Lytechinus pictus: one gene and its partner. The protein of the gene in region 2 interacts with the protein of the main gene of each other region in a pairwise test. Links are inferred from orthologs where the notes say so. Each region holds a gene or a part of one and is shown on either strand. Other genes may lie near its edges.

Region 1 (3,760 bases), on a different chromosome or scaffold from region 2:
CCTTTTTATTGTTTGTTTTTCTTGTTTATACATCATGTTTAATTCTTTATCTTATTGTTTCTCTATACCATGTCATGTTATTAATGTTTTGGGAACTGCGCTTACACAAGGCCACTTGGCTTTATTTATGCAGTTCCCCATTTCATTTTCATTTTTACTCTTGCTTGTAAATATATTGTTTCTCATACCTTGCTTTATAATTGTTTTTATCGAGAATGAAATAAATGCAAATTGAATTGAATTGAATTGAGATTATATCATAATCTTGTTCATTGAATGAGTGCCCAAGCCAAGGCCAGGGTTTATTACATGCCGCCGTGCACAGAAAAATCAAGCCATAGAAGTCATGTGTTGTGGACACCAGAAGTGGGATCCGCAGCACGTGCGATCCACTACTCTCACTAGTTAGAAATCCACTGCCAAACGCGGTTCGCAGTGCGAGGTTAGTAGTATACTGATAATAACCTCGCAACATGTGTGAGTGCCCCCTACCATACGTGTGAGTGACCTCGCATGCATGTGTGAGTGCAGATCGAGCTCCCCCCAGGGTTCATTTCATGCTGCCGCGTACAGAAAAATCAAGCCATTGAAGTCGTGTGTTGTGGACTCCAGAAGTGAGATCCCAGCACGCGCAACCCACTAGTTAGAAATCCACTGCCAAACGCGGTTCATGGTGCGAGGTACAACCTCGCAATACGTCATGTACGTGTGTGGATCGAGCTAGAAGTAGAACTTAGTTCGGTCTCTGTATTTGGTGACTGGAGCCAACCAGTAGAGGCGCACGGCCAATATGGGAGACTCTCTCCAATAGGGGAGACAATATCCCATATTAGAGACTTGCTTCGCAAAAGAACAAAAGAAACACCAACAAAATTGTAATTTTTTCCACCCAAAATTTTGTCTCACTGAGGTCAGAAGCCCATTTGTTTTGTGTGTGGATGACAACAAAAATCCTTCATCACATCACATCACATCAGGTACGGAAATGAAGGACGTCTCCTGTAGATTTTCCGATCTTTACTTTGGTAATTGATGGTCTAAACAGTTTAAACTTGTGAAACTTTACGTGCGTTGAGAAATGGAGGTTTTAAATCTTTCCCCCCACCAGAATTTATCCAACAGATGTTTAATCATTTCCACTGATTTTGCCTCCACTACTTCTGTAGGCAGTTTGTTCCAGTCAGAAATTACTCTTTGACTAAAAAATCTGCTCCTATGACTGAGTCCTAAGTTCCAACCGAGATCGTCCTATGAAGAGCTTGAACTTGAACTTATCAAAACAAAAGTAGATGGTGAATTTTTAAACAATGTGCCTCAAACTACTGTATACCCAGTTGTTGTGTGTCCGGACAGGTTGTGTGTCCGGACGATCAATTTTAGAAAGTAATTTGGAAAAATTTACAAGCGAAGTTTCATCAATTTTTAGTATGGTTGGGGGTCCTAAAGCTACGCGGGTCCTAAAGCTACGCACCACTCATCGCGCATGCAATTCCAATGGCAAAATAAATGCGCACTCTAGCTCTGTGTGTGAAGCTGTGACGAACGATCCCTATTCAATTTTTCTACAGAGGCTGCAATAAATCCTTGAATGCAGAGAAAACCAGCAAATGTTTGGAATTTCGGAGTTATATTCACTTTGATTTCATATTTTCCTATAATAATACGGACATATTTTAGAAATTGAGGCACAGGAAATACTATTTCTTTGCATGATAAATTGAGTGCGTAGCTTTAGGACCCCTTCTACATCGGGCGGCGAAATTAAGAGGTGTTCGGAAAACACGGCGGGATTTTCGTATTAGTGAGTTTTGTGATATTTTCTTCTTGGTTAAGGATATTTAGAATATTTATTACAAATTAGTGAAAAATAATTGTTCAAATATTACAATTGGCATAGTTTTTATCATTTGGAAACAAAGTGCGTAGCTTTAGGTCCCCCCATCATACAAAATGTTAGGAAATATTAGAGAGAACAAAATCGAAGATGATTATAACTATTGAATTCATATTTTTAGTGTAATCCAAAGACAAAAAAGAAGGCTTCAAAAATATAAAGTGTCCGGACACCCGATCCCCCATCCTACCGTAACTCGTAAGGGCACTACTAGTAGTAATTTAGTATTCAACCCGTTTGGAGAGTTTCCTCAAATATATAGAAATATAGAATTTACCTGAATTTCAGACCCATCTTATTTCCAAGAGCAAATGCTGGTTATTCTTTTTCCGTTATTTTTTTCTTCAATCAGTTGAATGTGTGCGTGGGCGATTGAATTATACGGCGACGGTTTTTGGCACTAGTATTCAATCCGTCGGCACTACACTAGTATTCAACCTAGCGATGAAAGATGGCCCTGTCTCTCAATCTGCCCTTGTCCCATCCGTCTATGGACTAGACCATTTGAGATGAGACCAAACACTCACAGGGAATTAATCAAACAACACAACAGATTACCCTGGGCCTGGCATGCCTGGATTCTAGACTGCTGGAAATATGAAATTAAGATAAATTCCCTAACCTATTTCTAAATATTTTGGGGAATATGTCAAAATCTTTGAATTATGCAGAGTTGAATACTACTAGTGCCCATACGGTACCCCCCCCCCCAAAAAAAAAAAAGTCAGAAAAACTAAGAATAAGATGACTAAGTTAACGTTACGGCTATTTTTACGAGAAAAACAATGGATGGGACTGGCAAGATAACGTTCGGGCAAACTAATTAGTCTAAATAAAAAGATCTAACGTTAACGTTAAGCCTAACGTTAAGCCTACCGGTACCGTTAACTGGTTTTTCACATTCGACCAACAGTTGAAAGAATCATGGGAAACCCAACCTGATAGCTTTGACTGTTTGATGGTCCTGATGAATGTTCTAACTCCTTCTGTACTTTCCTCGATTCTTCAAAAATTTCTGAAAGTTGTGGGGCATTGCAGCAGGAGGTGGCCATGTTGAACACTGCCATCTCTAGCTCGGGGCCGGCCAGCGAAATTATTTTTCCCACCGAGTTCTGGACCAACATATGAATATTCATGACTTGCGTCTTCGGATTGAGAGTACGCATGCGCAGTGGACTTGGCCTCGACCAGTGCCGATCGTAAGCATTCACGTTGCTCAGAATGAATTAGCATCGTCAAATTACCGGTACCCTTACATAGTTACATAGGTCTTATATGCTTAGATCTATATATATATATATATATCCAATTCTTAAACACTTAATAAACTAGCTGCCATTAATGGCAAGACATGTGATAGGGTAGGACTAGCTTAGGCTAGCGCATTAACTTTACCTCAAATCTGGACCTGTCTAATTAATGCCTAGTACTAATCAGTGTTGTAGTGCCTTGATGCTCGGCCTTGGCCTTAAGGCGCCTTAATGCCTAGCTACTTATTCAAAGCCTTGGCTTTGAGGATTTTGAGCCTTGAAATTTCAAGGCATTTTCAAGGCTTTTTCAAGGCATTTTGTATTTTGTACTCTCATTTGTTTTAAATAAGTAATTATAAATGTTTCAATTGTTTTTTTTTTATATATATTTAATAACACTAATGGTCAATACTACCAATCACCAGTAAAAGTAGCAGCAGCAGTAGTAAGTGTACTAGCAGTGTCATCAATTGTAATTGTCACCATTATCAAGAAATTCAAACAAAGAATACATCAGTTATGAAAAATAGCATTATGTATTGGTAATGTGTTGTAATCATATGATGATAATGACAGTAAATAATAATGGTCATGATCAAGATAATAGTGCTTTGAT
Region 2 (3,760 bases):
GAAAGAGTTGATCGTGAATGCCGAAACAGTAGACAAACAACCTCCACTCAATTTTTCTTATAAAAATTCATATTCCAAGTAATATGAAATGTTTTAGAAAGTCAATATTTTCTAAACAGGGGTTTAATCTGGTCAATCGATTACTCTAAAAAGATAAAATATCAGTCCATTCTTGGTCCTAAAAGACTGACATTACATGACTTCTAATACATTTCCAACATGAAAATAAGTAGGCCTACATGGGACTGTACTGTGTATTTTAGTGTTGTGAAATCACTTGGCTTTGATCTTAAGAACAAGACGGAACTGATAATTTATCATTTCATTTTCAGTAATTGACTAGATTAAACTTATTTTCAGAAAATATTGACAATGGAAAAAAACATTTCAAATTCGGAATATAAATTTTACCAGTATAGTAGCAGCTGAGAGCAGTTTGACATCCTGTTTCAACTTTCCAATCCATATCAACTATTTCTGGAACGCGATCATGGAACATACGTTGATTTGCTATGATTTTTTTTGTCTTTTCCGTTCTTTAAAATTCTATTCCTTCCCTCATCCTTTATCTCTTATTTATTTTTGTTAAAGGAGAAATGATGATGAAAATGTTTATGAAAATATTCTTTACAGAAGTCTCTGAATATTGGAGACAGTGGCGTAACTACGGGGGGGAGGGGCACACCCAATCAGCTGCCCCCCCCAAAAAAAAAAAAAAAAACTGGGAAAAGGAGAAAAAGAGGGTCTGAGCTCGGACCATCGCACATGCGATGTTTTGAAATCGGCAGCAAATTATTTATATGTGTGAGGAACTCCATGTTGGCGCTAAATCACAAATTTTTAGGCTAACCGGAGGATGGATATGGAGTGAAATTAGGGTGTAAAGTAAGAAATTAAGCTTTTATTCTTTTTTGATGCCTTTTCGTTGTATAATTTTTACAATAAATATGCATTTTTTTCCAACCTTTGCCACTCGGGAGTATCAGAGCGAGTTCACCACCTTGATGTTCGGCCTTCGGGTAGGCCTGGTACGTAGGTGGAGCGTAGTGTACCAGAAGGGCAATTCCTTAAAATGATCAACCTATTTGTACATCCGACCCCCAATTTTTTCAAGTCTTACGTCACTTTATAAACTGACCAAGTCATGATCCTATTCCTAAGTTTGAGAAAATTACAGACTGTCAAAAGAAGTAGAAATCAGAGACAGAAAATTTAATGAAGGTCCCATATATTGGGGGTCGGATGTACATATTTTATGGAATTGCCCAGTACTCAGTAGTGAAGTGGAGCCTGCACGAACATCAATTCTGAGGTACATGTAGGTGCAAATGAGCAAATGTGAAATCGTCGTAGGATGGGGGGTCGGGTGTCCGGACACTTTATATTTTTGAAGCCTTCTTTTTTGTCTTTGTATTACACTAAAAATATGAATTCAATACTTGTATTCATCTTCTATTTTGTTCTTTATAATATTTCCTAACATTTTGTACTAAAAAATTACGAAACTTCGCTTGTAAATTTTTCCAAATGACTTTCTAAAATTGATCGTCCGGACACACAACCTGTCCGGACACACAACAACTGGGTATATTCGTTGTTCGCCGATTTAGATCTAGACTCCGAGAGTTGAGAATACGCAAATTGAATCGCAGTCGCCGATCGAAACATGAGAATCTGCAATGCCAATGATCTGCTCAATTTTGTGCACAAATGAGACGAAATTAAAACAGCGCCACGAAAACTAGGTAAAACTAAAAACTGATAAACATTTACACAGATACAATGCTTAGAAAATTAGGTGGTCGATAAGGGGTAGTTCCAACCATACAGTACCGTACCGTGCCAGTGCGAGTGCAGTGCGAACGGCAGCGGGAAGCGACAACTGCTTAGCGCTTAATGCTTGCCTCTGGCTCTGCCGGTTCCCCTCGCCAGCGCCAGAGGCGCGACAGGGTACGGTACGTACGGAGACTCATCATAAATTTAAGTACCGGTAAGACCAAGGTATGTTATTTCACCGGTCGAAATCATGGCTCATCTTCACCATCAAAATACATAGAACATCATGTACAGAATCTTATATAAAATAATAACTTAATTACATAAATATTACCTTTCAAAAATAAGGTGTGCGGAGTCCCTATTCGCCAGCGGTTCCGTGCGTGCCATCCACCACTGTATAGTGTCGGCTTCTGCCTTGCGCTAGTGTATCCAAATGGCTCGGCTTGGTAAAAAACGTAAGGATAGCGGTCGGATGTGCTCGCATATACTTGTTCGAATCGCCTAATCTTTGGTATAATGCCGGTATAATATGACGTGTAGTTCTAGAAAACAAACCCAATTAATCAGGGGCCGCGGAAGCGGGGGGGCTTCAGCCCCGCTTCAGCCCCCCCCCCCCCACTTTTTTCCAAAACCGTGTACAAAAACGTAAAAATTACCATATGATTGTGATTTTTTGCATGGTCAGCCCCCCTCTTTTTGGTTCAGCCCCCCCCCCCCTACTTTGAAAACCGTTCCATGGCCCCTGTCAATCAGTTTTATTGTGACAAGTTTTAGAAGACAAATAAGTATCATGTTAACATTTCTGATAAAAATATTTATTTGACATGATATTTTATATATATGTGGTGTTTACTCATAGAATAATTCATCATGAGTAGAATAAAATCATGTTTATATTACAAGTACACTGATACTATAGACTAATTACGTGAACGTACGACTGTTTCGCGCGTGCGCTATAATATCATAAAAGGTCAAGGAATACTACTTGTACTTGTAAGATATTACTGGTAATTTGTTGTACATAATGTAAATCATCCGGATATCATCGGAGCCGGAGTTCGCGATTATGTAAAATCATAGTGGGATAACATGCTTGGAATTATAAGAGGAAATTTTTCAGTTTAAAAACAGAGATAACTTATTCATTGGAGATATCAAATGGCCCTACTAAGTGTTTAATTTGGCTTGGAATTGACATTAATATGTAATCGACGGACAATGATGAAACACGGGACTATTGGATTTGTTTGGGAATGGCATTCCGACTTGCATACTTCAGATGCTCAGCTGCTGGCATGAAATCAAGCGCCCCGAACGTTCTATGCGATACAATCCGGGATGCATGATGCAATGTTGTTTGGGATACCACACTGCAAAATTAGAGCAACCGGCCTCCACCAGATAGCCTACTACTCGTAGTTGGCACTTGGCAGCTGTGTTAGGTTTCCAGCCCCCCCCCCCCCCACCCCCCCGGGGTCAAGTATATTGCTTTACACATGCGTGACCAAAAAAAAACGCGTTTAAACTTTTCCCCGGGGTCATATTCTGGCGACAACTTTTATAGGGGCCAACATGTGTAAATAAAGCCCGCGAAAATTAAACTTGTTCAGGTGGTTATTTTGCACACAGAGAAAAAAAATCGTTTGGGGATGTTTGCTAATAATTTGGTCACGCATGTGTACAGCCGCCCCCCCCCCCCTCCTGCCCCGCGGGTCCATGTAGGCCCTTATATAGCTATGCAGGGTTTCAATAAAGAGAGGTTCGATGATCCCTTCTAGTTGAGTTCCCTCCCCTGTTTCTCTTGCTTTTGAAATGTTTAGGGTCCAATCGAACCCGTACGATACGGGCTTGGTTTCTAGCTGATGTCACGGGCCGGGGTAACGGGAAGTCAAGATCCTAACGTGCCGACCGCGATCGATGCTACAACTTAATCATTAGGCCTATCCGGGGGCCTATCGGACAAATCCACTCCAACAAA

The links. The genes of interacting proteins can lie anywhere in the genome.
Region 1: the proteins of serine/threonine-protein phosphatase 4 catalytic subunit (region 2) and immunoglobulin-binding protein 1-like interact in binary tests that used the Caenorhabditis elegans proteins (3 or more experiments, as listed by UniProt). The link is inferred for Lytechinus pictus from reciprocal best matches to the Caenorhabditis elegans genes pph-4.1 and ppfr-4.

What each region holds. Positions count from the first base shown.
Region 1 is NC_087247.1:81,320,224-81,323,983, forward strand, and holds the start of immunoglobulin-binding protein 1-like, read right to left. Parts: upstream 2,239-3,760; 5' UTR 2,172-2,238; intron 1-2,171. UniProt on the Caenorhabditis elegans protein: Probable regulatory subunit of serine/threonine-protein phosphatase PP4 which may play a role in meiosis and embryonic mitosis.
Region 2 is NC_087246.1:5,138,253-5,142,012, reverse strand, and holds the start of serine/threonine-protein phosphatase 4 catalytic subunit, read right to left. Parts: upstream 2,459-3,760; 5' UTR 2,111-2,458; intron 1-2,110. UniProt on the Caenorhabditis elegans protein: Protein phosphatase which plays an essential role in meiosis and in early embryonic mitosis.